Linked DNA regions of Diceros bicornis minor. The protein of the gene in region 2 interacts with the protein of the main gene of each other region in a biochemical or structural test. Links are inferred from orthologs where the notes say so. Each region holds a gene or a part of one and is shown on either strand. Other genes may lie near its edges. The genes, in order: SMAD1, SMURF2, SMAD2 and RNF11.

Region 1 (7,366 bases), on a different chromosome or scaffold from region 2:
GAAGCATGGTTCAGGACACGCATCAGAGCTGCAAAGGTCCTTATCAGCACCCCCAGAGCATCTGTTTCTCCACTACCAAATGGAAAGCTATTTAGACAATGCAGACTGAACATCTCTGAGTTTATCTTCAATTTTTTTTGAAAAATTCAGAGTTCTGTAAGCCTTCTCCTCTTTTAGAAACACTATCATTCCCAGCGAGTTCAGCTTTTCCACTATAAACAAAAACTATGTACCACCCATATCTGAAGTATAACGCCAGACTCCTGCTTAGCTGCCCCTGTAATATGGTTTAATTATGATGACTGAACTAATAGGCTGACATCATAGACTTTTACAGGCTGACCCCATGTCATCCTGATGTATCATTTTGCACCAGTTCAGTGCCGTAAATCAATTTAAGATCTCAAGCAGGTTGAAAAGGCTGGTAATGATGCTTTCTCTGCCGTCTCTGGAGACTCTACATTATACACAACTTACATTATTTATAAACCCCAATGATGCCTCCATTAGCCTTGTAAGACTATACAAATGAGATCTTTTATACACACACAACTTGGCCTTGATTGTGTAGGCGACTGCAGCTAAAATATACTCGTCTAATTACACTCAAGTTTATTCTTTTTACAATCTGTTATTAAATTTTACCTTTAACCCAGGATTACTAGAAATCAAAATTACAAACTGAAATTTAGTTTTTAACTAATAGATGTATTTGGGAAAATGAGACTTACTTCCTTTTAATGCTTTAATGAACTTAGGTAGCAAAAATTAATTAAATTCCAAGAGGTGTAAGAGGTTAACATTTTTAATTGCCTGAAAATTGTCATTTCTCTAAAATGCAAAGGTCATCAGCTCATCAAGGGTATAAAACCAAAGGATACTGCAAAAAGGAAAAATGTATTTAGTTACATACCTATGGTTGGAGGAGTCAGAACTAAATGAAGGACAAATCCCTACCCTCAGAAGAAACCTGATCCTGCCTGGATCCTCCAGAGGCTCTGGCATCACCCACCTCTAGAAAAATCATCTCTCACGACCCTGGTTACAGTTTCCTAAGAATTGCAATATTACACAAATGTGCACCACCTGCACAGAAATATCAAATAACTGCAAATGGAAAAGAGGGTGGAAGGGAGGGGGGAGGAAAAGTACTTTAATCAGTACAGCATATTTAGGCCTGGCACCTACCTCAGAATAACAATGATGCAAAATATTTACACTAATTGAAAACGCTGGGGCAGTGAACAGTGATTCTGCCTCCATTCTTTTTAAACAGTGGTTCCAACACACCTCACCTACCTCCAATAAAACGTAAAGTGGTAATTATGAACAAGATGAAAAATCAACACAGGCAGAGAACAGTTTTCTCATTGTGTTTCTGAACGCAGGCATGCTCTCCACGACAGGCAATTAGAGCGAGAAATGTTCTGAAATTAAGGCATTCTGTGATTTAGCTGCTAAGTTTCAGCAAGAGGAAGACATACAGAAATCATGCAACTTCTGTATCATTTCACAGACGTTGAAACTTCAGATACAATGGAAAGAGGAGGACATATGGGGAAAGAAAAAGGCTCGTTGTCACAGCACTCACGAAAACGATGCTTTCTCAGGAGATGGTTCTGAGATGCGCCTCGATTTTCAGAAGGGAAGCGCCTTACTGGTTATCTTGCACCGTGTATTTAAAAATCGTCTGCGCCTCAAAATAAACAAAAGCCGCGGCTACTGTAGTTGTACGATCCGGCAGGCATTTGTTCCTCCTCCCTCCTAAAGTCCATCAAGGAAACGCTTTCCCAGGAAGCCTTCATATATATCAAGCAACCAGAAAAACAAGCCCACGTCTGTCTCGCTCACACCCACCACCCCCACCTCCCTACAGAAACAACCCCGAGAAACACTAACAAAGACAGGGAGCCGAGTCAAGGAACACTTGTTCAACCGCGAGCTCACAAATGCACATGCAGTGAGGCAATCGAATCCGGTCAAGGGAAAGGAATGAGACGACACTTGGAGACGGAGGGGGGTGTAGGCGGAAGAGGGGAAAAAAAAAAAAAATTACCCGCCGCCGCCGCCAAACCTTTGAATAAATTAGAGGGAATTTCAGTGCGAACTCTCCTTGACCTCCACCCCCAAGAGGCTCGTTGGGGCAGAGAAGGGGACCCGTCGGGGACGCGGAGGGGCCCAGGGCACCAGGTGTCCCGCTCGTGCGGGACCCGCTCCGCGCGGCGCCGAGCGCGTCCCGAGCCGCGCCGACAGCCGCCCTCCGGCGCCCGCAAGAGTGGCCCGGGCCGGCGCGGGACACAATGGGCCCGCGGGCCGCGCGGACGGGCCTCGGGCCGGCTGCAGAAACGGAAAGAGAAACGGGGCGCGGGCGGAGGGGGAGGGGACCCGGGAGGTCCCGCCGCGGGCAGGGCCGGGGCCGAGGAACGCGGCTTCCCCACCGCAGACCCAACAAAGACGCGCGGGGAACCCCGGCCGAGCCCTGCCGGGCGGGCTGGGCGCGAGGGGTGGAGAAGGTGGCAGGTTCGCTCATCCGAGCGGCCGGAGGCGCCATCATGGGGGGGGGGGTCCCGGTCCGCCCCGCACGGGGAAGAGCACCCTCCCGGCCGCAGCCCGCGCCCCCGGCGCCGCACGGCCGCGGCAGCCCTGCGGGCCCGCGCCCGCCGCAGCGGAGGCGGCGGCGCTGGGAAGCCGGGGGAGCCGAGGGGAGGGCGGGGACGCGGCAGAAGGAAAGTTGGTTTCGGGTCTGTTTCGTTTTACCGGGTTGGCGGCGCGCCCGTCCGCGCAGGGGCACGAGTGGCGGGGCGAGCGGGGTCCCGCGGCCCCGGGCTGGCCCGCCGGGCGCTGCGCCGCGCTGCGCTCGCAGGGTCCCTCCCTGCGCCTCGGCCCGCGCTGAGCCGCTCGGCCTCTCCTTCCTCCGCCCGCTCGCTCCCGGAGCCTGGATTGATCTGGTCGCGCTGGCGTCAGGGAGTCGGAGCCGCCCAGCCTCCACTCCTCGGCTGCCAATACCCGGCGCACTCGCCCGCCCGCCCGCTCACACGCGCACCCGCGCGCCGCCGCCGCCGCGCGACCAGGGATCCTCTCCAAATTCCCGGCCCGGCCAGCGCAGCGGGGCCTGAGGACGGCGCGGGCGAGCGGCCCGAGCCACCTCCCCCGCCCCCAGCCCCACGCCCAATTTATTCCAACGAGCAAAAACAACTCCGCGCGTTCCGACTTTCCTCCCCCTGCCTCCTTTAGTCCCGGTGGAGCGGACTTGGTGCATTATCTGCGAGGGAAGTTCTGTGCTCAGTGTTTATTATCTGGAATGTTCATCAGCACGTCCACCGCGCCCACCGAACCGTACTACAAACGTGGAGCGCATTTTTGACAATTGTCTTTCGAGCCTCGCCTTTTTATGTCTCGTTTTCATTGCCCCTCACTCACTCCCCAGTGATTTGCAAGCCCCAGAAGTTGCACGTACCCAGAATTGAATAGCTAGTAACTATTGCATGTGCTTATACCAAACCCTGAATCAATACATGGGTTGTGCGCCAATTTGGGATCTGAGTCGAGTAGGTAACTTCGTTGCTCAAAATAATGACAGATGCCACAATAGAACTCTAAATTTCTTATCCAATTTCTGCAATCTTTTAGATGACACCAACCCCTCAAATTAAAAACAGACTAGCTCTTCTCTACCTGATCTGCATAGACGGTGAAAATATATTTTTGTAAGAATTACATTTTCTCCTGGCCAGCTCCCTGGAACCTGGCATGAAATCTTGGATAATTACCATAATGTTGAGTTATGTTTAGAGACAAATAATTATTCTGAGGAGTAAATTTCACATGAACCAAAAGAATCATTACCACTAATATAAAGAAAACATCAAAGACCTCTGTAAACTAATGGTACTCTCCAATTGTTCCTGTATGTTTACATGTCCACATTCCATTTAAATTCTTGTTTATTAATTATTTTATTTCTGCATTCCATGTTTAATTATTCAAAGGAAATGCAACAAATCCCATAAAACACATGAAATACCAATTATAGATCAGAGTATTTCTGTTAATTTCTTTGTTAAGCTATTTGAGCACTTCCTGGTCAATTGTTGAGCCTCATCTTATTTTCCCTAAAAGCAGCATTGACACAGTTCATCATTCTCTGCTCCCGACAGCTGGAGTAAGCCTTGTTAAATGCCACTCAGATCAGGTCATTCTTCTGCTCAAAACCTTCCCTTGGTAAGTGGAATGTGCTCTATCCATACAAGGGAACATCATTCAGTCATAAAAAGAAAAGAAGTACTGACACATGCTACATGGATGAACCTTGAAATCATAATGCTTAGAGAAAGAAGCCAGACACAAAAGACCACAAATTGTATGCTTCCATTTATATAAAATATCCAGAATAGGCAAATCTGTAGAGATAGAAAGTAGAATGGTGGTTACCTATGTTTGGGAGAATGGGGAGGTTAGGGGGATAGCTAAAGGTTATGGGGTTTCTTTTTTGGGGTGACGAAAATGTTCTGAAATTAGTTTGTGGTGATTGTTGCACGACTCTGTGGATATACTAAAAGCCATTGAATCGTACACTTTAAATGGGTGAATATATGGTCTGTGAATTTTATTTCAATAAAGCTGTTAAAAAAAGGTATGACAACTAAAAGTAGTGTACTATCCTTGATTGGATCCAGGATTGAGTGGAAAAGCTATAAAATGACATTATAAAACTGTTAATTTTTTTAACCTATAGGTGACCTTTCTTAGTGCAGTCCTCGTAGCTACAAATGATCATTATTAATACTATGCAAGCTATGAAATTTGATTTTTGCCCCTTGTGCAAATTATTTCTTTAAATAGTAATAAAAAAAATTGGACTTTTTAAAAGAGGACATTATTGGGACAATTGTGAAAACTGGAATGTGGGTTGTATTTTTTTTTTTTCTTTTGTGAGGAGGATCAGCCCTGAGCTAACATCCATGCTAATCCTCCTATTTTTGCTGAGGAAGACCGGCTCTGGGCTAACATCTATTGCCAATCCTCCTTCTGTTTTTTTCCCCCAATGCCCAGTATGTAGTTGTATGTCGTAGTTGCACAGCCTTCTAGTTGCTGTATATGGGACGCAGCCTCAGCATGGCTGGAGAAGCGGTGCGTCGGTGCGCGCCCAGGATCTGAACCCGGGCCACCAAAGCGGAGCACGCTCACTTAACCGCTAAGCCACTGGGCCGGCCCTGGGTTGTATATTATTATCATTATATCAAAAAAAATTTTTCCCTTGACTTCCCATTTCACTCAAAATAAAAGTTCTCACAATGTGGACAAGAGTCTACACGATCCTTCCTCCCTGCCCTCCGTTACCACTCTGACCTACTCTCTCTCTTGCTCACTTCCTTAAGTCACCCTGGCCTCCTCACAAATCCTGGAACAACCTGGGCATACTCTCACTTCAGGACCTCTGCACCAGCTGTTCCTCCCTGGAAAGCCTTTCCCAAGATGTGCACATGGCCCTCTGCCTAACCTCCCTCAGGTCTTCCCTCAAGGGTTCCCCTCTGGATGAGGCCTACCCTGGCCACTCTACCTAAAATCTAACATCCCCCCGCCCATACCACTCCCAAACACATACTTTTTATATCCTCTTCCTTCCCCTGTGTTGTATGGATGTTTCACTTATCACTACCTAACTACTTAGCCAAAAGTGCAGGATTTTTATATTTTCTATTATTTCTATTATTATTTTATTATTTCTATTAATTCTATTATTCTGTTCTATTATTCTTTTTCTACTTAGCCAAAAGTGTAGGTCTGTTCTGTTCATTGCTAACCTCTCAGTGCCTAGAGCAGTGTCTGGCACCTAATAGCTCACTAAACACCTGTTGAATGAATGAATGAGTGAATGAATGAATCAAACACTGTTCAAGTCACAGGGGATATGGTGGCAAACAAAACAGATAAAAGTCCCCACTCTCATCAAGGAAGACGAATAATGAATAAATACACAAGTATGCTAGGTGGTGTACACGGGATGGAAACAGCAAAGTAAGAGGGATTGCGAATGGGAGAGGCTGCTATTTCTATAGGGGTAGGGAAAACGTCACTGAGAAGAGATCCTGAATGAAGACAGAGAGCATGCTACATGATCAGGGGAGGATTTCCAACCTCCCAAGCAGAGGGAAGAACAAGTGCAAGGACCTTGAAGTTGAGTCGTCTTCACCCATTCACAGAAGAACCAGAAGGCCAGTGCACTGACGCAGGGAGGAGCCGACTGCAGGAGGGAAGGCAGTGTGTGGGTCCAGGTGCGCACAGGCTGGTGGCTGCAGAGGTGGGAACAGAGGGACATTGTCTTCTCTCTGCTTCTGTTAGCTTGATGAAATAGCCACGGACCCTACTTCCTGAGAATGGTGAGTGTAGAAGAGACGTTGCAGGTTGGAAGAGAAAGGAGTGGATATCAAACAGTTATCTTCTGGGAGAGTTTGAGAGCACATGAGCTACGGAAATGTAGTAGGATAGCCAGGCAGTGCTATTACGTGCCCATTTGAGGTTAGTGGTTATGAATTTAAAGCAAGACCGGTCAGCACGGCTGTGGATTTTTCTCTAGCCTCGGTCAGCCTAAGGGGGCAGAGCTGGGGTTTTGCAAGTGGGTGTGATGGAAGGAAAGAGGGTCAGAGAGCAGAGGGTGTAGGCAAGGGAGTGACTGTGGGGGGACTGGGATAAGGAGGAAGGTGAGGACATAAAGAAGTGGGGGGTGATGGAAAGGTGATAAGATGGATGGATAGAAGGTCCCAGTGGGATCCAAGAACTGCTTCAGTTGGGAACCCCTCCCAAAAGCTGGGGAACGGTCTGAGAACAGGACGCTTGAAATTGAAATCATGGAACTGGGACAATTTTGCATAATGCCAAGATCTAGCAGTGTGACCAGATAAAGTGGATGGCTGAGGTAGGGAGGAGGACAAGATTCTCAGAGAAAAGAAGGTATCAAGGAACCGAAGGCAAATTAATTACGCTTCAAATTAATTTGACAAATTAACCATTTGTCAAAAAAATCAACTACTAATCATTTACAATAAGGAGAACCCTTAAAATTGGCTGCAAATTTTATAGGTTCAAAATGTGAACCCCAAAATTTATTTTGAGAGATGGTTCTAATCAATGGAAAAATAAATGTAATGTCAGGTTTGTGCGTCAGCTCCTTAAGTGAATTTAAGTGAATCAGTTTCCCTGGAAGAATCCTGCCAAGGATCACTGATGTGGCATTCTTCGCCTTAAAAAGGAATGTTCCAGTGATAACTATGGTGGGGGGAAAGGTATAAATTATGAATTTTTGATGTTGAAATCCTTATTCTCTCGTCACACCCTTTCCTCCAGAAAACTTTTAGCTGTTTGTAAT
Region 2 (7,833 bases):
GTATGTGTGAGTATGAGCGTGTGTGTGTCATCACACAAGAATTGTTTACACCTTTCAGTAAAGGGGCACCTCTACATTAAAGATATAATTGAGTAACGATAGTTCATAAAGCACCATGGAATCAAAAGCACTCTATAAATTTAAAATACTAGTACGGTATTAACATAAAGCAAAGAACAATAATTTTAAAGCATCTTACAGCCCAAGTGTATTGTAAACCAAATAGAAATTCACTGTGGGATCTGCCTTTTTTTCAGTGATTTTCCTCTATTATAGAACCCGGATCTAAATGAACTGTTAAACACTTAGTCTAAAGGTATGCCAAACATTTCTTAAGGTCTTAACAAAGAATCAGCTTTTTTTTTTTTTAAAAACAAAATGAGGCCTAGGTTAAATATTTTATTTGGCTTCTCAAGATGGACTGAAAAGTTGGGCACCGGCTCCAGACCAATTCCTGGACACACATCAAACACAGCCCTGTCATTTATCCAGTCAGTCAAAACAATCTTTTCCATCTAACCCTTTAATGTTTATGTCCTAAAAAGCTGCTAATTGAATCCAGCTCTTGAGATCTATTTGTTAAAATCTATACCATCTAATTTGTAAATGAACAAAAATGAAAAAATATATGTTAGTTTTCCTGGCAAAACAGAAGAGAATCCACCATATGTAACCAAAAGGGAGAGGGCAATGTTTTTAATATTTAAATAGTTTTCTCTTAAAATATGTCAGAGACAAATTCCCAATGGTTTTAAGAAATTAAGAGTACCTCAAACTGTTTTTACAATTAAGGGGACACAGTGTGTTTAAAATTCCTCAGAAAAATCTAAAAATACCAAATCACTCTATAAATTTAGTCGTGTTTCCTCTCCCCCCTAAAAATAAGTGTAATCTTTTCTAACTTTACTCATGAATTTTTATAATGTATCATATGCAGTAAGAAAATTACAGATAAACACTTTAAGATCTATTGAGTCACATTAAAAATCTCAAACTCATTTTATCTGCAGAAAATCAAAATCCCTGTTTTTTCCTTCATTTTCTCATTATGTGAATAGGCTAGAAGGAAGTACATGGCCAACATCCTATTTCTGATGCTTTTTGCACACCTGGACTCACAGGTTCTTTCCATGATCACTGACACAGGACTGACTCCAGAGAGGAACAGCAGTAGATAAACTCTAAAGCAACAAAGATCCCTTATAAAGGTTTTCATTGATTTATAAGAAAATAAGGAAACTGGGGGAAATAGGGGAGACAGGCATCCCCCAATCCAGGTTTTCCATTAAGAACCACTCAGTTAATGATTCTTTGCCATTTTCCCTAGGGAAAGTAAAACTGTCGTGAAAGTAATATATTTTTTAAATTGCAGCCAACATACAGTCAAGCTAAATTCTCAAATACCAACTTCGCTGCAAGTTTTTATCTCCAAGTTCAGCCAGCGGACCAGGATGTGACACACAAGCATTCAATTACAAAATTAGTCCATATAAATCTTAAAGTCTAGTATAGGCAAACATAATTATAGTTTATTCTTACACGCGCACCCACACACACACAGATCCTCTTATGAAAACCATCTTTCTCACCACACATCCGAATATCAACATGGATAATTTATTAACACTGAATGGTGAAACTAGGATAACTACACTGATTTCAATTACACTTCTCAAACGAAAAATAATTTTTTCCTAAAATGGGGTAATGCGACCATGTAAGAATACCAAAAATGGCAGCGTAAGCAAAACGTACCTGTAATGTTAAAGATTCAACGTACTTGGAATCATAAACACTTTGCAAGAGAAGCCTTCTATCTAGCAACCCCTCCAGACATTCTTTTCCATTTAGAAAAGGGAAGGGGAGGAGAGTGGGGAAAGAGCGATTTCGCTTGAAAGTTTGTATGAGCACATACTGAGAAATGTACCCAAAAAAAGTGTGTTCTTAAAGCAGGTCTAGAGTTAGAAGTGAGACACAAGTTCTGCGGCCTACAAGGAACAACCCATGTTGTTCTACATGTTACCCTACAATCAAACACTTCCAAAACACAGAGTGTACAAAGAGCCCGAGTCGTCGGATCAGGCAGACACACCGGAAAAGTCAACCTCAGTCTCCTTCCCTCCCAACGACGTGCGTTTCAGGTGTGTGGCGGCGGCTGCCGCGGCTGGCAGCAGAGAGTGAAGGCTCTACACGCGGGCATAAGTGGGCGAACAAGTTACCAACCAGGGAACACACACACACACACCCTCCCGTTAAGCGCTCCATCTTTAAGGAGTGTTTACTGCGCGCAGTCGGCAACCGGATTCAATAATCCCCGCCACAGGAGTTCCTCATCCCCTCGACCACCCCACCTGGGCAGGAGCCCAGGGGCTGCTCCCCGAGGCCCCGGGACAGAGTCGTGCTCCCCGGCCAAGGCTTTTCGACCTCATATCCGCCCGGAATTCCAACCGGGGGATCCCTCCCCTCAACAAAAGACCCCAGAGTCACCCTGGGCTTTTTTACGAATTTCCAAACAAGGGAGAGTGGTTTTGCCATTACTCTCCCTGAACTAGGCCTTCCCACGTCCCCGACCCCCAACTCACCATTGATCGCGACCCTGGCCCTTCCCAAGGCCACCGACACCCCCCGCCGGCTCGCCCACCCCGCGGCTGCCCCGGCCCGGACCCCGCCGCCCGCCCGCCCCCCCTCACCTGTCAGGCGCAGCTTGACGGGCCCGTTCCTCCGGCCCCCCGGGTTAGACATTTCCCCGGCGGCGGGGGCGGCGGCGGCGGCGCGGGGCCCGGGGCCCGGGGCCGGCGGGCGGGGCGGGGGCGACGGCGAGGCGCGGCGGAGTCACCACAGCTGCCGGGGCTGGGGCCCGAGCAGCCGGCGCCGCGGCCGCCACGGCAGGAGGGTCCCGGATGTGCCGAGCGTCGTCGCCATGAGCCGCGGAGGGAGCGGGACGCCGAGCTCCCCCCTCCTCCCACTTCTCCTTCCTCGGCCCGGGCCGCACAACAAAGCGGCAGCCGCGGCCGGCCGCACCGCCTCCGCCCGCGCCCGCGCCGCCTCCACGCAGCCGCCTCCGCCTTCCCCTCCTCTCGGCTCGGCGAGACCCAGGAGCCGACGGGGCTGGTCGGCTGAGGCGGGCGGTGTTCGGCGGCGCCGCAGCAGGACTCCGGGCTCGGCCGCTTCCTCCTCCACCCGCCCTCTTGTCTGAGCGAACCGGGTCCTGGGGCCGCCGCCGCCGCCACTCGTCGGCTCCGGGGGGCGGGGAGGAGACGGGAGGCGGGGCCGGCGGGGCGGGGCGGGGCCGGCGGGCGGGGCCTGGGCGGGCGCGCGCAGGGTGCCCGGGGCGCGGGGGCGCGAGGCCCGGGCTCCGCTTGGCCTCCGGCGGGCAGGACGGGCGTGGGCTGCAGCAGAGGGTCCCACGCAGGAGTCTAGGAGGGAGCGGGCCAAGGAACAAAGTGGCGGCGCGGAGCTCTGTGGCACCAGGAGGGGCTTGGTGTCCAGCCCACTTAAGGGAGAGCGTTTGTCCGTGCAACACGGACTGCATTTTTTAGACGCCCACTGCGTGCAGGGCACTCTGAGAGGCTGGGGCGGGCAAGGTTAGAGCCGAGTCCGCTGCCTTCAGGGAATTGAGCGTCGCTGAGGTGAGGGAAGAGACGGTGTTCCCACACCGAGGATTCCAGCAAATCCCCAGGGGTGTTTTGCTCCTGGTATCGTAGTTGCCACCTCCATCCAGGACTCACCTGGTGAGCGAGATCAGGTTACCTGCCTGCTCGGGCTCTTTTTCCAGCTGTAGCACAAGGAGAGGAGGATGATAATAATGCCTTAAAGGATTATGAACAAGATAAACCTTGGAGAGCAATGTATGAAAAGCTTTTCATACAGTACTGTATTTCCTTATCTCAGGGGGAAAAAACAGAAAATGAAATAAAAATAACTGTACTTTACTCTTTGACCCTGTAATTGCACTCTTAGGAATTTATTCTTGACGTACAGTAATACAGAAGATATTCTTTGCAAAGTTCAGTTAAATAACAAAAGGAGGAATGAGCAAACAGTCTAATGGCGAATTATATTATATTAGCATGAGTTATTTTTATTTATTTATTTTTTGCTGAGGAAGATTAGCTCTGAGCTAACATCTGTTGCCAATCTTCCTCTTTTTGCTTGAGGAAGATTCGCCCTGAGCTAATAACATGGTGCCAGTCTACCTCTATTTTGTATGTGGGTCGCTGCCGCTGCATGGCCCGGGGGAGTGTTGTACCGTCAGCACCTGGGAACCGAACCTGCGCTGCGGAAGCAGAGCTGGTGCAACCTAACCACTACGCACGGGAAGGGGGAGTGAGGCCCGTGGGGCTGGCCCCTGGCATGGATTTTTATGCAGCCATTTAAATGGCAATTATGAAGACCATATAATATGGAAGAGTTTACAAATGAAGTTTAAAAGCAGATTGAAGAGTTATATGTATGCATGCAAAAGTATCTAGCACAATGAAAACTAAGGGTAACAGCATAGGCGATTTTTTGTGTACTGTTAGTTTTGCTTAAGGCTGTTAATGCAATTTTAAATGTTTAATAAAGTCTAATATATTTTAATCCTAATTCAGTATCAATCATTACTTTTAATTCATCAGTAATGTCACTTCATTCTCCAGATGAAGTGACCTCCAAGAGCATCCCGTCAGTCTGGATACAGCTCTACAATTAAAATGATCCAAAAATTATATAAAGTGCTAGAAGTTAGACTAGAAATTCAGGGGATGGTGCTAGAAATTCATTCAACAAATACTGAGTGCCTCCCATGTGTAAAGCAGTGACCCAGGTCCTTTAGAAATGCTTCTTTGTACTACAGAAGCCCTGAAGATACACTAATCAATTTGAACAGTAGCTGCTATCACAACTTAAAACACTGGATGGGTAATGGCAATAAAACTTAGCAAATTGATATATACGTATACATTTGCCTTATTGTTATGGCACGCCCTTTGTTCCCAACCACCCACTAACATAATTGGTAGCTTTGTATTAGATAATAAAGTTAGGATTTCAGAATGTGTGGGGAAGCTGGAGAGATTGCCTGTTGTGAAGTTTAAAGCACTACATTCAGATATGTAAGTGATGGTGCAGAAAAATGTATACGTACTTAATATGCAGGGGAGGACTCTGTTTAAGCTTGCCTGTGTATGTTTAAATCTTATTGTTTAAAATAAAAGATTCAGATAAGAATAATACTTTAAAACATTCATACTGTTAAGGAGAGCTAAACTTTCATTAGATTAAATTTCAGCATTGGATGTATAGCATTGCTTCATCATGGCAACACTTCTAGACATAATTTTTGAGAAAAAGAGGGAGGAATAACAATTCTTAGGGAATTCACCCTTTTCTTTCTTCCTAAAATAGAAATCCACTTCCAAGGTAAATTGTACCTATACATGTCTCTAATGGGTATGGGAATTGCAGAAAATCTTTTCAAAGGCTTTTTATTCCCTTATGACTTCTAATTTGCTCTTGGTAGAATTGTGCACCTTTTATCAAATCATTGTTTTAGGCATCTGTCTCAAATATACTAACTCCACCTATTTCATACCAATAAAATATGTCTTTTTCCATAAATGCCACTTAAAAGAACCTTCCAATGAAAATGCTAACAACCACTCATTAAATAACATTTTTGAGCAAAAGTTTTAAACTTTTCCATTAATGTTTTTTAATCACTGTAAGTTGCACTCTTTATGATGGTATCCTAGACTAGAGGTGAAAATCTACACATGGTTATAAGAATATTTAAAACTTTTTGTTTAAAACTTGTTTCTATTTTCCAAGGCTAATATTAAATCTGATGTGACGTTGCAAGAAAATGCTTACCATCTGTAGTTGGTTTTTTTCTTCTGCTCCAGCCATTAATATATTTTTTACATAGAAGAGTTGTCTCCAGTAATAAAAAATCTGTCTGAGGTAAGGTTATGTTAATAATGGTACTCCTGTGAAGCTATTTTTGTAGTGTAAATTTCAGATTTAATACAGTTTATGTGCCATGGAAAAAGCAAACGTCAGGCACTCAGCAGTTTCTACCACTGCTTAAAATTCAACTTTCTTTAATGTTTAAAATGTCATGAATTTAATTTAATTTAATATCTACTTCTAGCTTCCTCTATTCAGCTTACAACTGATGAAGCAGCCAAGCACAGCCCCCCCCTGTACTTGCTGTTGTCAACCTGACCCTCCTTCCCTCCCCCATCTTCACTCATTTCCTCTCTGCCTCTGCCTGTCCCAGGTCCTTAGTTAGGTTCACTGAAAACCCTCATGTGCCATCCTGTCCTGACATGGTTTAGGATTAGGTTGCATTACAAGCTGCTCTCTGTGACGCCTTCCCTGACCCCCTCCCAGCAGACCTCGTCCCTGGTGATGGAAGCTGAGGGCACATCAGGGACCTGTGTCTCTCCAGATCTGGGCTCCCTGGTGCCATTCGCCTTGGCTCTTGCCTTCTCCGCCTCTACCCTGGTGTACTAAGATGGTAGTCCCTACTTGCATCTCCTTCTGAGGGAATCTGCCCTCACCTACTGTTGTAACATAGTGTCCTAGGCCCCCTCCCCAGAGATACTGATTCAACAGGGTGGGGTGGGGCCCATGAATTTGCATTTCTAATGCTGCTGGTGGGGAGAACCCACTTTGAGAACCACTGCCTTACATCAAGGATGAGCCTGGGTGGCCTTATTTGTGTTAGGTGAGCGTGGCCTCAACTAACTGAGCCAAAGGTGGGTGGCTGATCAAGAGGCCAATCAGAGTCTCTCTCCTTGGAATATGTGACAGAGATACTGGGAGGCTGTTAGCGGTGGGGAGCTGGGTTGAGAGGTCATAGTGTTAGCAGCTGAGGAAGCCATTTTAAGGTTCCAGTACATTAAAAAAAGAGGAAATGAGGGCCGGCCTGGTAGCATAGCGGTTAAGTTCACGTGCTCTGCTTCGGCAGCCCGGGGTTCACAGGTTCGGATCCGGGGTACGGACCAACTCACCGCTTGTCAAGCCATGCCGTGGCAGCGTCTCATATAAAGTAGCGGAAGATAGGCACGAACGTTAGCCCAGGGCCAATCTTCCTCACAAAAAAAAAAAAAAGAGAGAGAGAGAGAGGAAATGAGTGTGTAGAAAGAGACTAACAAAATAGAGAGAAGTGGAGATAAGAGGCTTCATAACCCTAAAGAGAGAAACAAAGAAAGTGATTGTCTCACAGATTTCCTGCCAGTACTCCTGGCCCAGGTGTGACTTCTCACAGTTCATTTCCAAGGGATCTCACTGTGCAGAATAACCACCTCACCCCTTACTTAAGCAAGTTTAAGTGGGTTCCAGTCCCTTGCATTCACTTGTCTCCACTTGGAACACCTTTTCCTCTTCAGGTCTGTCCTAAGCACGTCCCCAAACACCTTTGATTGTCTGCCTTGCTCCTGCCTGTGTTCTTCTCCAGAACTGAGTCTCACCTGCAACCCGGCCTATAGCTTGGATCCTACAACCCAGGGGCAGCACTTCTAGAATCTAGAGAAGTCTAATACATATGGCTATCGTGCTCTTGAAAAATGGCTAGTGATGTGCTGCAAGTATAAAATGCATGTTGGATTTTGAAGACTTAATATGGGAAAAAAGAAGGCAAAATATCTTATTTTTTATATTGATGACATATTGAAATGGTAATATTTTGGATATATTGGGTTAAATAAAATATAGTAGTAAAGCTAATTTTCCCATTTCTTTTTACTTTTTTTAATATGACTACTGGAAAATTTGAAACTACAAATGTGACTCACTCTATACTTCTCTTGAACAGTGGTGATCTAGAGGATGATGACCATCCCACCC
Region 3 (7,392 bases), on a different chromosome or scaffold from region 2:
TGGATAAATGCTACTTGTTCAATAAATGCAAGTTATTTGTTGAATAAATGCATAACCTCTCCTGAATTGGTTTTGAAATCTTTCTATTTCACATTTTCTGACATACCTTGGCAATACTCAGTGGAAAACATCTTTCCTCTTACAGAAACTAAGAGCTTAAAAATGGCTCCTCTACTCCCATCAAAAGACAAGGAATCCAAAAGACATGCCCCTCTCCAGCCTCTAAAAATGACTCTTGTCCCAAGAATATGAATAAACCACCATCTGCCAGACTGCACTAAATACAGCTTTTATATGCATTACAAAAACACCTGTATAAAAAAGCTGCTACAAAACGAGGCCTTTGGAACCCTAAAGTACAAAACCAACAGAATCAAAACCAAACAAGAATAAGCAGGGCTTTCAGATCTTTATAAAGCCAAAACTGAAAATATTTGCAAAAGGTAAAATTCAATAGGTCTTTGATCAGCAGATTATGCAGCTAGAGTGTTTTTCACTCACATATTTTTCCCATTGTGAAGCAACAAGATTATAGCAACACGATTCCAATATTTATAATACAAAAATGAAAAGGGGACCTTTTGCCACCTTCAAGTAGAAACAACCTTTGTTCCTATTAAAGAGAATTTCTGCTGAAATATACAAAACCATCCCCAAATTCTTTCTTAAGAGTTAAAACACATACCAAGCCTGACAAGCCACAAACAACAGGAAATTGCCCTGCAGTTTCTTACAACACTATTATTTCATGAACCTTACAGATTGTGTAGAGATTTGAACACTTATTACTAGGTACAGGTAAGTTACAACCTTGAAAAACCAAACTTTTGTTTAACACCTATAACCTGAAATCACTTTAGAAAGCATAGCTACAAAGTATAAAAACCAAGCTTTAAGAGCAATTTCCTACTAAAACAAGCCCAGAAACGGATGTTCCCAGTCACATTACATTAATTAAAATTGGCCAATGAACTACTTTAAACTCATTTAATTTTAACATTAAGAGTATAACGGGGCACTTACCTTACACATGCCCACACACTTGAACTATTCTTATTTACTACCACAACTAATTTTACGGCAAAAACTAAGGAACTTTAAAAACGAAATTAGCGTTACTTTCTGAATTTAATATAAATGTTTGCTAAACGACCTTTTGGTGGAGAAAATTCTATCAATATCCCATATGGGTTTTTTTAAGCAAATGAAAAAATTCTCAAACTACAATACATTTATGAAATCTACATTATTTTTCCCATCTCTGTTCTATTTGCTTCACTTATTTATCTGGTCACGTTAAAACTCCTCAAACTTCATTTAACTATTTGATTTACACTTTCATGTAAGGAAATCTTTTTTTAAAAGGAGGTCAAAACCAGAATGACAGCAAATGTATTTTCAGAGTACTGACAGCAAATTTATCATCTTTTTAGGCTTAAGAAAAACATCCTTACAATCTGTGGTACAGGCTCAATTCATATGAAAACAGAAGCGAGAAAATGAAAAGGAACTAAGATTACAGAATCACTCAGAATTCTAGAAATTAATTCAAATTTCAGGGACCACTTTTAGAAAGATGGAATTACTCTAAGTCTGCGTGATCATTTATTTATTCATTAACAATTACTTTACATGTGCCGTTTTAAAAGTTTAAAACACCAAAATTTAGGATACTCCAAACTGTAACAAATAAGACATCGCTGATAGAAAATACTACTTCCAAATTCGTTTTACATGGAGATTTTTTTAAATAAAGGTTTAGTTGACAAGAAACCGGTAGTATTTAGCTTTTAAAGGGTCAAGAGGAAGGAATACCAAAACCAACCTAGGTATTGTTTTTCTTTTGTTTAGGATCAAAAGGAAACCACAACCACATAAGGGTTAAGTCAATAAAACACAAAAATACCCAACCCAAGGACAGTATCCCCCAGGAGAGAACAATTAAAGTTGCAAATTTGAAACCGAAGTTTGAAATACGTGAAATCAATTAGCGTGCTTTCTAAAGGCGTGTGACAAAAACTAACAGGCTCCACTCACAGAGCAACTTTCACAAGTGAGCAGAGAAGAATCTCGACAGAGTACCAGCACCAGTGTGCGTGTTTGTGTGAGAGCACACACAAGCAATTCGGAACCCCGAGACTACAATGGTTCACAAAGGTTACAGGACCAGAAAAAAATTAAAAAGTGGAAGCAAAGCAACACACGCTCGTAACACGGCTCCCCAACAACTCCTGCAACAACAGCTCTGTCCCTCCGGCTTTGAACATCAGGACCAACTACCAAGTGTGTTGGCGGCGGAAGGGAAGGGCCACAGCCGGCCCCGGGCCCGGCGGGCGGGCAGCTCCGGGCGCCGACCCCTTCCCGCCGGCCGACCGGCCGGCCCCGCGCTCCGCACCCAAGGGCCGGGCTCGCGCTGCCCCGACCTCGCCACACCCCAGCCCCCAGCCCGTGGCCATGTGACGCGGCGAGCCTCACGACTCGAGCCCAACACAAACACACCCCCGGCCCCGGGGCCCGCCGGGCGCCCGGCTGTACCTGCACCGAGGCTCCGGGTCCCGCCCCGTCAGAGCCGGGGGTCCGGGACCTTTTGTTCCTTCCTCTTCCGAATAGGATGAGGGGAAAGGGGAATGGGCGATGGGAGGCGGAACTGAAAACACTCTCGCGGTCGCCCGGCCTCCCGCCCCGCCCCCCAGCCAGTGCCCGGCCCGCGGCCCCGGCGCGCGGGGAGGGGGCGCGGGCCCGGCCGCCGCCCGCGGGGAGGAGGGGGTGGGGACGCGCGTCCCGCCGCCGCCGCCCCTCCTCCCCTCGGGCGCGCGCCCGCACCCCCCACCTCCTGGGCCGCCCGGACAGCCGAAGCTCCGCCGCCGCGTCCGCCGGCCCACCTCCGCTTCCGCCCTGCGCCCTCCGCCGCCGGCCACAGCGGCGCGGCGCACCCACCTCCGGGCGGCTCGCTCCGCGCTCGCTGGCTGCTGGCTGGGAGCTGCTCCTCCGCCGCCGCGGCCGCGCGGTAGACCCGCCTCCCACCCCGGGCCGCGAGCCCCGCCGATTCGCCGGCGCAGCTCCGGGGCTGGCACCCTGCCGCCCGCTGATTGGCGCCCCCGGCCGCCCGTTAGGGCGCGAGGCACGCCGGCCGAGCGCAGCGCTCTGCGCTCACGGAAGACGGGGCGAGCGGAGGAGGGAAAAAGGAGGTCGAGCGCCCGGGAAGGGCCGGGGCGCGAGCGGGACTCGGAGAGTCGCGGGCTACTACCTCCCCACCTCCTTTCCCTTCGGCCCGGCCCGCCCTCCCGCCGGACTGGCGGCGCGGGCAACCAATCAGCGCGCGGGGTGCTCGGGGTGTGAGCCGCGCGTCAGGGGCCTCGAATCGGAAGGGAGACGTCGCTCGCTGATTGGTCCCGCCTCCCCCGTAGAGCGTGAGGCGAGGCGCGGGCAGGCGGGCGGCCCGGCGGCCGAGGACGAGGCGGGGTGGGACGGCTGCGGTTTCGGTTGACTTCGTCTCCGGCGCGCTGCACGAGAGGCTCGGGAAGGGAAGGGAGGGGAAGGCACGTAATCTGCGGCGCTGGCGACCACCCGTCCCTCATTGCCTCGGCCCCGGGCCCCCTCCTCGGTGTCTCGCCAGCGCCATTGGGTGCGGCCTGTTGGGGGCCGCCGCCTGGTCCACCTTCCGTAATCAAGCCGGGCGTGGATACGTGCTCATCCCCTGGGGAGGCCCGGGGGCCGCCCGGAGGACGGGACGAGTCAGGGCAGAAGGCGGCTCCGCAGAAGCCGGGGTCCCCGACCCACACTTGGCGCGCCCGTATGCGAATGAGTGGGCGGGGCCGTGGTGGTGGTTAATGGGGGCGAGGTCCGAGAAGTAACTAAGCCCAGGGCGGGGCTTTTATGGGTATTAGGGCCAGGGTAGGGGATGCCAGGTATTTTTGTTTAACCGGAATTTTGGTTCTGTCTAATGGTGTTAATCATGCATGCTCTGATGGTCCTTGCGAAGTCTGAAAGATAAGCGCCTAGCACGATGCCCCGTGAATGCTGGGTTATTTTCTCCTTCATTTCTCCACTGTTCAGACGAAGTTCTTAAGCCCCAACTTCCCACGTCTGCGCTACAAGGCCCTAAGCTGCTGGCTGCCTGAAGCTGGTGGGGGCGTAACCGCACTCGGGTAACCTTGTCGCTTGTACCTTACGGACACCCAAGCCTTCGCTGAAATATTGAACCCAACTAATCACATCAAGTATTTATTAAGCACCTACTATGTTAGGCAGGGAGCACTATAGAACTAAAGTTGGAAAGAAACTTAGGTCTCACAGAGGTGTTGGTGGCAGAGGCAAGACTAGAACACGGTTTTCTTGCCTCCCTGTCAGCACTCCTTCTCGTGTACCTCCTTTCTTCATGGATTTAATTGGGGACTCAAGACGAACAAGCGGGAAGGCGGCACTAGCAATACAAATCACTAAGCAGGAAGTACCAAGTGACCATTTCAAACAGTAAGAGTTGTTGAAGTGTCCTCTTTCTTTTCAGAAATGAACGCCTCCCGGGGAACGATGCCTTCAGATGGACCTGGAGAGAGACGGATTTAGCGATCCTCTGAGTCTTACAGGTTTTCCAGATTTCCTTTCAAAATCTCCTTCATTTCCACCATCTCTTTCCTCAAACATGGAAGTACTTTTCTCATCAAAAGATTGTGATGAAGCACATGAACCCTGGAGTTAGGCAAATTGTAGTTTTGAATGCAGCTCTGTTCCGCATCTGTGGTCATTGGCAAGTAGAACTCACCTGCACTGATAGCTATTTAAATATAGTTGTGGGATGATTAAGTAAAATAAGAAATATGAAAGTGAATAGCACGAGTCTTTGAAGTTAAAAGAAAATCCATAATCGTTATGGTTTCTTCCCTTGTGTTGCCTGCATGCATTTATGCTAAGATGAACCTACTCAGCAGAAATTTTTCCTTCAGAAGTTTACCTCGGGGGTAGTTCTTCATTGTCAGTTTAGAGGCAGCTCTACTCACTGCTTTTTAAAAATAGCTCATGAAGGAGGCCCCGGAAGCCAATTGGTGGAGCTGTTACACCTCCCAAGACTTCTGTGTCCACTTCCCAGAGCCACCCAGGAGGATGGTCTAAGGCAAAGGCTGTTTGATTTAGAAGTAGAAAGACTGTTTTGGAGTTTTTGGTCCTTCCTGCTAACACAAGTCAACAGTTTTAGTATGAAATGGCCTATAAAAAGCTACCCTGGGTCACACAAATATTTTCTCCTATGTGACCAGGGTGTGCGTTTGGGTGTCCATGTGGGTGAGTAGGAGAAGAAACAAAAGCAGGGCTAGCCAGAATTCCAGGAGAATCTGCTCCTAGTGTGGGAGTTAGGTACTTTGAGGGATACGTTAATACAGTGGATAATATGCTTAATTCTAAGTTAGACCATGTCTCCAAAGTGTCAAACTTTGGGTCCCTAACCCTTCCATTTAGGAAGCCTTCCAGGATCTGTAGGATTGAGGAAGGAGAGGAGCAGCATCTGGCTACCAATGCAATGTGCTAAGGGCTTAGGAACCAGAGCCTGTCTACGGTGCGCTCTGCTAGAAATGCATCTGAACCAAAGTGGGTCAAGACAGAAACTGGCAGTGGATGTAGCAGGATTGCCGTGGCAACAACCAACTTGGAAATCCACTAAGGTACCTCAAGACCTATCATTAGGTCCCTACTGTATGAATTATGTTGAGTGAGTCTTATTTTTATGTGGATAGACACCGAGTTTAACCCTGCATCACGCATGACACTGCAAAATCAATTAAATCAAAACCAATTCAGAATCCATTTAAAAGTAGTGAAATGTAATGGAATGACACCTGAGAAAAATGATAATGGTGGTTGCTTCTAGAAAAAGAACCTTGGAGTCATGAGTGGAAAACTTAAATTTCATCATTAATTTTCTGTAGTTTGAATTAAAAAAACATATATATATATATCCATGTATTGATTTTTCAAAAGATAGAACTCATACTCCATCTCCTCTCTGATAAATCTGAAAAGCCTTTCCTGGTTACCCCAGCCGAAAGGATATCACTATCCTATGAATGCTCTCTAATGGTTGGAATAATTTACATACCATGACTTCACTTTGATTAGTGTCTTGATCTGTTAGTTTAGTCTTGAGGGGTTTTTTTTTTTAACTTTACTTGTGTGTATGTTTTGTCTCCTCGTTTAGATTGTAAATTCCTGAAGGGCAAGGACAGCATCTTGTTGTCAGTCGTCTTTGCACACCCTAAGATAAATACTAAGTAATTGAAGAAAGGTGAAATTCAACATTTGTGTAGTGGAAAATGTGTGTCATAGGTCTGCAAGCATTCTTTCCAGCTTTGCTCCGTCCTTAATACAACTGTAGAGTATCATGTCAACATCCAGTCTCTATATTTGCTTATCCTGGTGGAACTAAGTTGTAGTGAGCATTACTACATCTTAAAGGTCCAGTTATTTGCAATTGAAAGGACACTGATTAAATGAGATAACCAAAGTAAAAATTGTAAAGAGCAAATGTATGGGGTTACTTTTGTCGTAAATGATAATGAAGAACTCCGACACCAGCTGGGTTTTTATCTCGCTACAATGGAATTTCATGTTTTAAATGAACTTATGTTGAAGATGTATACACCTGCCTCTACACACACACACACACACAGTCCTTATTCACATGCTGGTTTTTATTAAAATTAAAAAAATATTTAACATCTGATGGGAAAAGCTGGAGACAAGAATAAAGTAGATACAAGAAAAAAATTAAATTCAGCAAGTGTTTATCAGGTATCTGTTTTGTGCCTATCATAAAAGCATTGGTTGATCATGCTGGAAAATTCTTATTTTATGGCCAAAATCCTCAAGAAAACAAGACATACAAGTAAGGTTTTTTAGATTTATAGAGAGAAAGAGATTGAAAGAGAAGTTGGCTCTGGTTGAGAGAAAAATATTTGGTGAAAACAAGTTACATTTCGCACCATTCTCCAGGCGTCTGATACTTAATATTATATTTCTTGTCCATGTATTTAAAGGCATAAATAATCAGTGAGTCAGTTGATCATTAGATAGCTAATCCAATGATTATTCAAATATTACTTGGAAAATTACAATACAATTTCAGTGCAATGAGCACTCCCATAAAGGTATTTAAATATTATCTGACATCTACATATTTTGCAAAAAAAACTAAACGGGCCAATGTCTAAACCGTGAGAGAACAATGTACAAATTGTTTACAGTTCTCTTGTAAGGGGGGACAATTTGGTAGTCATATATCAACAATAGGGCCTTATGCCTTGATGATTATTGTCTGTGTGTGACAATATCGACTGAACCAGAGTGCTGCTAGGCAAGATAAGTGTATGAAGGTATAATACTCTTGGAAAATTTCAAGCATAT
Region 4 (7,191 bases), on a different chromosome or scaffold from region 2:
AAGCCAATACTCCTGCAGCTCTGTTAATTATATACTATTTCTGAAGAAAAAATAAGTTACTTCTGTTCACTGAAAATATAAATCATTTACCTTAGATTGGTGTTTTTCAGATCATGTAAATTAATCATTCCTAAGAATTTATTTCCTTCAGGGGTGACAAAATTTTTTCCACAAAAGTTTCTTTTTATGTTACCATCTTTTAAAGAAATTATTTTCTTCCAACTGATACCAAATTTGCATATCAGTATCTGGGTCATTCACTTCAGGAAAAGGCAACCACAAAAAAATCCCACTGTCACAAATAACATGTTTCAAAGAATGTTCCTTCATGATAACAACAAAACTCTCCTTATCATCTAGTCCTCCTGGAAAAGGCAAATACACTTCCCATAAATTCTAAAGAGTTATCCTTAACACTATATTATCATAAGGATAAGAGAAAGAGGGCAATAAATCAAAGATACTCAACTTGTCTGGAAAGGAGCTAGGGAACGTGTAAGGAGATTTTGAAATAAAATTTCATACCTCTAAAAAAATTTGCTCGTGAAACTGAAATAAGCACGTTATGAGGGAAACGAAGAGTGAAATACAATTCAATTGCTTCAAAGATGTGGAAAGACATCCAGATTTAGCTTGGATTTTTTAAGACTTCCCCTGTGACAATTCTTTGTAAGAAATGGGTGTGTAAACTTACGAAACATAAGATGGAATTCAAATTCACTAATTCATTCAACATTTAAGTGCTTCTTATATTCCACAAATTGCTGGAAGCACTGGGGACAGAGACCCTGTTCTCAAGGGCTTATAGTCTTCACTTATCCCGGAGTTACTGAGTATTTACTGTGAGCCAGATGCTGGGGATACAAGAGCAAACAGGAGACACAGGGTCTCCACCTGCATGCAGCTTACACTGAGGGAGGAGGGAAATGCCCAAGGATGAGACATACATCTAACTAAACAAGGATAAACACTCAAGTGTTATATGTGCTGCTCATGGAAGCGTAGAGGGAGGGTTCGGGGGGGGGGGACACAAACAAGGAAGTGCATGGATTCAGGGGGGAGAGAGGGAAATACAGGAACTTCAGGTAGCAGGTGACACAAGAGAGCTGAGTCCTCAAAGAAGATTAGATGTTCACCTGGCTGACCTTGGGGGAAGGGCTCCAAGCAGAGGGAGCAACTGGAGCAAAGGCAGAGGGGTGTGAACAGGCTGGTGTATTTGGTAGGCCTGGAATACCGAACGTGAGAGAAGTCACGGAGGCTTCTGTATGACACAGTTAAGACTGGACTTCATTGGTATATATGAAACCCCTGAAGGGTTTTATCCAGAAAACCAGCAAAAGTGATCAGGTTTTTCTGGTGTGATGAGACACTGGTTTACACAAGAATGAGAAAAGAATAACACTAGATAATGATGTCACCACATGAAACAACAAAGGAAACTGCCTAGTTAGAAAACTAAACCTCCTTCAGGAAAAACATTAAGCCACTTAACTACCCGAGCCCTTCTGGAAAAAGTTTTTAATCAACATCATTTAAAATCGAAAAAGCAGAGGAAAAGGTTTTATATATATTACGGATTATAACATCTACGTATCTATTTTGAGGTTTCTCAAGAGGTCTTAGCTCTTTATTAATTGTGTAAACACATCTGGGGCTGCTGATTGTTGAACAAAAAGCAATGAAACTATTTAGGAGGAAGTCTGCTACATACGGAGACAAACGAGTAACAGAAGGTATTTCTCAAGTTAGGTTTAAAGGTTTCCAAAGTTCAAGATAATCAAGTTTTATTAAGTCAGCGTGATTAAAAGGTGTGTCATAGGGGTGGGGCAAAAGGAGGAGGGATTAAAAATTAATATATACATTTAAGTAAACAAGTAACTCTCGATGTCGCTGGGACTAAAATCACTTGAAGACCACTTAAAGGTCTTCTCCCAAGTAGAAGGAGAAATGAACATCTACCGGATCCAACTGACACAAACGGACAAGGGAGGAGGGGAGGAGGGAGACAGGACACGACGATCACACATGAAAATTTAAAGGGGCGGGGGGCAACCACCTATCCAGAACTCACAATCCAGCTGCCGGTGCGATAAGAAAACCATCCCCAAACCTCACAGCTTAGATTCCACGATTCAGGCATAAAGGCAGGAAAATGTCACTCCCAAACTCCACAAGCTAACCACCAGTCACTGGCCAAGGGGCTATGATCACATACTCGGATCCCAGAACTCAAGGACAGAGGGTACCATCCCCACACCATGCTCGAGGGAGAGGTGAAGGATCCCCTCTATTCTGGGAGTAGGGAGCAATCACTCCTGGATCCAGGCCTAAGGGGGTCAACGCCCCCCAGGCCAGGCCTTGCCGAGGCCAGGGGCAGTGACAGCCCCGAAGCCCCCTCAATCTGGGCTGGAGCTGTTTCTGCTCCTCGCACCCCCTCCTCCCCAAATACACACCCTCCCCTACCTGATATGGCGGCGGCGGCTCCTGATCCGGCTCCGTCCCCTCGCCAAAACTAGCCCGGTCGGACTGAGACTCGTGAAGCAGGGAGATGTCATCCGAAGTGGGGGATTTGAGGCAGTTCCCCATCTTCCGGAGCTGGGGTGTGTGATCTGGGGGAGTAAGAAAGCAGTGGCGGGGTCGTCGCACGCTTCGCGGTAAGCCGCGGTCAGCGAGGTGGGGTCGGGCGGCAGGCCGGGGCTCAGGCGGCGGCGGCGGCTCCCCCGCCCCCCGGCGCCGCCGAAGGGCCGCTCATGCCAGTCCCCGGGGGTGGGGGCTCAAGGCTGGGCCACCGGCTCCGCCGGGGTCGCGGCGGTTGCCTCCCGTGAGGCGGCGATGGGGGGCGGGGGGGGCGGGGAGACGAAGCACTTCCCCACCCCGCCCCCCCGCGGGGCGGCGGCGGCCACGGAGCTGCTGGGCCTAATCCAGGTCAGGAGGGGGGGGCGCGGCCGTCGCGGCTGCCTCAGCTGCTGCCTCAGCTGCTGCTGCCCCTGCCGACGCCGGAGCCACGGCCGCGGGCCTCATCCTACTCCGCCTCAAAGCGGCGGCGGCGCCCAGAACGAGGCCAGCTGCGGCCCTGCGTCATGCCGCCTTGCGTGCTCTGGTCCCGCCCCCGGCGCCGGGAGGCGTGGGCAGCTCCGGCCGCGCGGCCGCACCCCCCTACCCCCACCCTCTCCCAGCTGTTCCTGGGCTGCGTCAGTTTCTTTCTTTCTTTGACAGTTGACTGGGTACCTGACTCCGAAACCTCTCTCGGTCTCTCGCGCCTCCCATATACTCTTCTTCTCCACTCACCTCAGCTCTTACCTGTGCACTGTTCTGACGGGCTTCTCACTGCCTTCTGCCGGGTGATCTATTTATAAACCCATATCTGATTCTGTCGCTCCCTAGGTTAAAATGTTAATTGGCTTCCCCTTTATCCCTTCGGAATAAAGTCCAAGCTCACTAATGAACCTTCCCCTCTGTCTCCAGTCACTTCCTTATCCTCGTCCGTCACAACCAGAGAGATTCTTCCTCCAGTTGTATATCTGGGATTGTTCTGTTTCTTTCCATTCCCACCACCATAGTCCAAGCCACCATTATCTCTTGCCCACACTACTGCAACACTCTCAGCTATTCTCCCTGCATTCGCCATTGCCCCCATCCAATCCACTATTTGCACAGTTGAATTATCTTTTTAAAATGTAAATCTGATCATGTCACTCCCCTGTTTAAAACCTTAATGGCTTCCCGATACTGTTATAAGTATTCTTAAATGCTTTTCAAATCTGACTACCTCCCCAATCTCATTACCAGCATTGCCTCGTCACCTATTCTAAACTCTAGGCTGTCTAAATAAAGTACTTTCGGTTATCTAGAAAACTGTTCCCTCTGGCTGAAGCCTTTACCCATGTTGTTTCTCTGACAGAAACTCACTTCTCCCCACTCGCAGCCTTCTACTTCCCATCAGGCTAACTGTTATTCCCACTTGTCGTTCCTGGACTCAGCTTCATTTCCCCTGGGAAGGCTCTTCTAACCCTCCAGTCTGGGTTAGTCACCTCCTCTGTGCTCTCAGTCCTTGAGCTTTTCTCTGCCACAGCCTGATCAAGCTGAATCATCTGTCCCTCTTTTTGTGCAAAGCCTGGCACATTGCCTAAGGTAGAGTAGGCTCTCTTCTGGGTTGAATGAACAAACAGCTCAAGAAGCAATGTGTGCAAAGGAAGGAAACAAGAAGGATGGGAATGCTCCTAAGAGTGATTCATTCAACAAGAAGACAAGAAGTTGGTCTTGACTCCATTTCTTTTTTTCACCGTTTACTGATTTTTTTTTTTTTTGCTCCAGACCCTATGCTAGGCACTAGGGAAACTGATTGACCAGACCTGACTTGTTCCTGATGGAGCCCAGAGTCCAGCTGGTAAGACAAGTAAACAGATGAGTCCTTCTGCCTCCCGTCATCAAAGGTTTTTAGAGGGCCCAGAGGAGAGTGATTAGATCATTTGGATGAGAATCAGAGAGGATTCTTGGAGGTAGGACTGTGTTAAACTAGTATGGGCCTGAGTGCTTTTCTGTTCTACTGTAGAATAGAAACGTCCCTATTTTACAAAATCACTTATTTAAATGCTTTCATATTCCATATTAAATATAGCCTTTTTGCTGTATGCCCTCTTCTGCTAGACTTGCCTTCCTTCCCGTTAATAGCTCCCACATAAATAGGTGTATCCCTAATGCTGGGTTTATATCAGAGTCTTCCATACATCAAGAATCATTGCTTCATTCTCTAGCTTGGAAAAGTGCAATTATTGGATCCTTTGGGAGGAAAATTTCTGGCATTTGCCTCTTTTCCCCCATTGCCATTTTCCTTGACTCCTCTGAACTATTGCAACAGCTTCTTTTTTTTTTTTTGCTGAGGAAGATTCACCCTGAACTAACATCTGTTGCCAGTCTTCCTCTTTTTGCTTGAGGAATTTTTGCCCTGAGATAACACTTGTGCCAATCTTCCTCTATTTTTCGTATGTGGGTCGCTGCCACAACATGGCTGCTGACGAGTGGTATAGGTCCGCGCCCAGGAACTGAACCTGAACCTCTGAAGCAGAGTGTGCCAAACTTAACCACTAGGCCATGGGGCCGGGCCCTGCCACAGCTTCTTAATGAAACCCTTGCCTCTGCACCATCAATCCATTCTCCACATTATTGCCATGAAAAGTGTGATCAGAGAGCATTCATAGACTTTTGGTTCAGAAATTTAGCATGGCATTAAGGCCTTGCACCATTTCGTCCCATCCTCACCTCCTGTGTGATTCTGACTCCGACTTCGACCAGGCATCCTAACTCCAGCCACATCACTCTGCTTGCCATGCCCTCGATTTTCCCTATACTTTTCCACCTCTGACCTTTTACCATGCTGTTCGCTTCTATTGAAATCCAGCCATCTTTTAAGACCTTCCTTAAATATCACTTTCTTCATGTAGCTGTCCTTGATTTCACTTAGTTGGAATATATGTAACAATACAAAATAAATGGGATCTATTATTGTATTATATTGCGTATATCTATATATCATGTATGAATATTTTAACACAATTTTTAGTATATATAATCATAACTGCTATTTGTCAGCCTGAGCCAGACACATAAGAGCCCTGAAAGGTATGTATTGATATTCATGTTTTACGGAAATAGAAATATGGCTTCACATGGCTATTCAGGGGTAAAGCCAGGATTTGAATCGTATACCAGTTGCCTTTATTAGGTTGTGGGAAGGGGCTATGTCTTTTTCATCCTGATATTCCTCCCTCAGTGTGTAAAAATAAGGAAATAGGAGAAGACTTCTCTTGAATGCCTTTGGCATCCACAAGTACCTTTGTAAGGAAGTAGCTATTCAATGATCTTTTTTCCTAACCGGGCTTTAGAAAGGAGCCCTTGGGAAATGCCCTATAGACCAGAGAGTATGACCTACTCACAAAACACAATTTAAAATTGAAAATAGTAACCAGGACTATTGCAGTGACAAAAACTCTCCATGACCTAACTCCAGGTGGGCTCCTCTAAGCCCTTAAGGCCCTAACCTTGGGCTCTGTCCTTGCCACTTATTCCAGTTTTAGCAAGAATCTAGCTGAGTCAGTTTAGCCAGAATCCTCCATCCTTGGTATCTGACCACCTTGGCCTGCCTTCAGCAAAAATCCTATCAAGTAGGTTTAACCAGAATTCCCCTTATCCCTGATGTTTCCTCTTAGTGATTTTCCATCCACTGACTCCCACCCTGTTCCTTGCCCATAAATCCCCACTTGTCCTTTCTGTATTCAGAATGGAGTCCAGTTCTATACTTAGGTCTCCCTTCCCCTATTGCAATAGTTCCTGAATAAAATTTGCCTTTACTGCTTTAACTTCTGTCTGGCTCTGGTTTTCTCTGACAGCAGGAGATCTAATGCAGAAGCAGATATGAGAATCCAGTATCTTCTATTGAGCCACATTTTTAAAAAAATAGACTCTATTTTTTAGACCAGTTTTAGGTTCACATCAATATCGAGAAGGTATAGAGATTTACCATATACAGCCTGCCCCGACACGTGCCTAGCCTCCCCCATTATCAACATTCTGCACCAGAATGGTACATTTGTTACAATTGATGAACCTACAATGACACATCACTATCACACAAAATCCTTGCTTATGTTAGAGTTCACTCAGTGTTGTATATTCTATGGGTTTTGACAAATTTATAATAACATGTATCCACCATTATAGCCTCATGCAGAATAGTTTCACTGCCCCCCAAATCTTCTATGCTCCGCCTATTCATCCCTCCCTCACCCCTAACCCCTGGCAACCACTAATTTCTTTACTGTTTCCATAGTTTTACCTTTCCCAGAATGTCATATAGTTGGAATCATACAGTATGTAGCCTTTTCAGGTTGGCTTCTTTCACTTAGTAATACGCAATTAAGTTTCCTCCAGCTCTATCCACGGCTTGATAGCTCATTTCCTTTTAGCGCTGAATAATATTCCACTCTCTGGATGTCCCACAGTTTATTTATCCGTTCACCTACTGAGGGACATCTTAGTTGCTTCCAAATTTTGGCAATTATGAATAAAGCTGCTATAAACATCTGTGTACAGGGTTTTTTTTTTCCATTTTTTTAATTGTGGTAAGATACACTTATGTCAACTTAAAAGCAAATTCACCTGTTATTTTACCCTCAAAATGAGTTTATTTGGGAA

The links.
Region 1: the proteins of SMURF2 (region 2) and SMAD1 form a complex in vitro, tested with the Homo sapiens proteins (2 studies listed by BioGRID and IntAct, with this or other methods). The link is inferred for Diceros bicornis minor from reciprocal best matches to the Homo sapiens genes SMURF2 and SMAD1.
Region 3: the proteins of SMURF2 (region 2) and SMAD2 form a complex in vitro, tested with the Homo sapiens proteins (3 studies listed by BioGRID and IntAct, with this or other methods). The link is inferred for Diceros bicornis minor from reciprocal best matches to the Homo sapiens genes SMURF2 and SMAD2.
Region 4: the proteins of SMURF2 (region 2) and RNF11 form a complex in vitro, tested with the Homo sapiens proteins (3 studies listed by BioGRID and IntAct, with this or other methods). The link is inferred for Diceros bicornis minor from reciprocal best matches to the Homo sapiens genes SMURF2 and RNF11.

Annotation. Positions count from the first base shown.
Region 1 is NC_080750.1:34,663,946-34,671,311, reverse strand, and holds the start of SMAD1 (mothers against decapentaplegic homolog 1), read right to left. Parts: upstream 3,005-7,366; 5' UTR 2,758-3,004; intron 1,934-2,757; exon of another isoform or gene 1,592-1,933; intron 1-1,591. UniProt on the Homo sapiens protein: Transcriptional modulator that plays a role in various cellular processes, including embryonic development, cell differentiation, and tissue homeostasis.
Region 2 is NC_080757.1:47,385,880-47,393,712, forward strand, and holds the start of SMURF2 (E3 ubiquitin-protein ligase SMURF2), read right to left. Parts: upstream 3,009-7,833; 5' UTR 2,743-3,008; coding exon 2,691-2,742; intron 1-2,690. UniProt on the Homo sapiens protein: E3 ubiquitin-protein ligase which accepts ubiquitin from an E2 ubiquitin-conjugating enzyme in the form of a thioester and then directly transfers the ubiquitin to targeted substrates.
Region 3 is NC_080755.1:40,633,142-40,640,533, forward strand, and holds the start of SMAD2 (mothers against decapentaplegic homolog 2), read right to left. Parts: upstream 3,021-7,392; 5' UTR 2,938-3,020; intron 2,620-2,937; exon of another isoform or gene 2,536-2,619; intron 1-2,535. UniProt on the Homo sapiens protein: Receptor-regulated SMAD (R-SMAD) that is an intracellular signal transducer and transcriptional modulator activated by TGF-beta (transforming growth factor) and activin type 1 receptor kinases.
Region 4 is NC_080752.1:13,656,411-13,663,601, reverse strand, and holds the start of RNF11 (RING finger protein 11), read right to left. Parts: upstream 3,012-7,191; 5' UTR 2,587-3,011; coding exon 2,464-2,586; intron 1-2,463. UniProt on the Homo sapiens protein: Essential component of a ubiquitin-editing protein complex, comprising also TNFAIP3, ITCH and TAX1BP1, that ensures the transient nature of inflammatory signaling pathways. Promotes the association of TNFAIP3 to RIPK1 after TNF stimulation.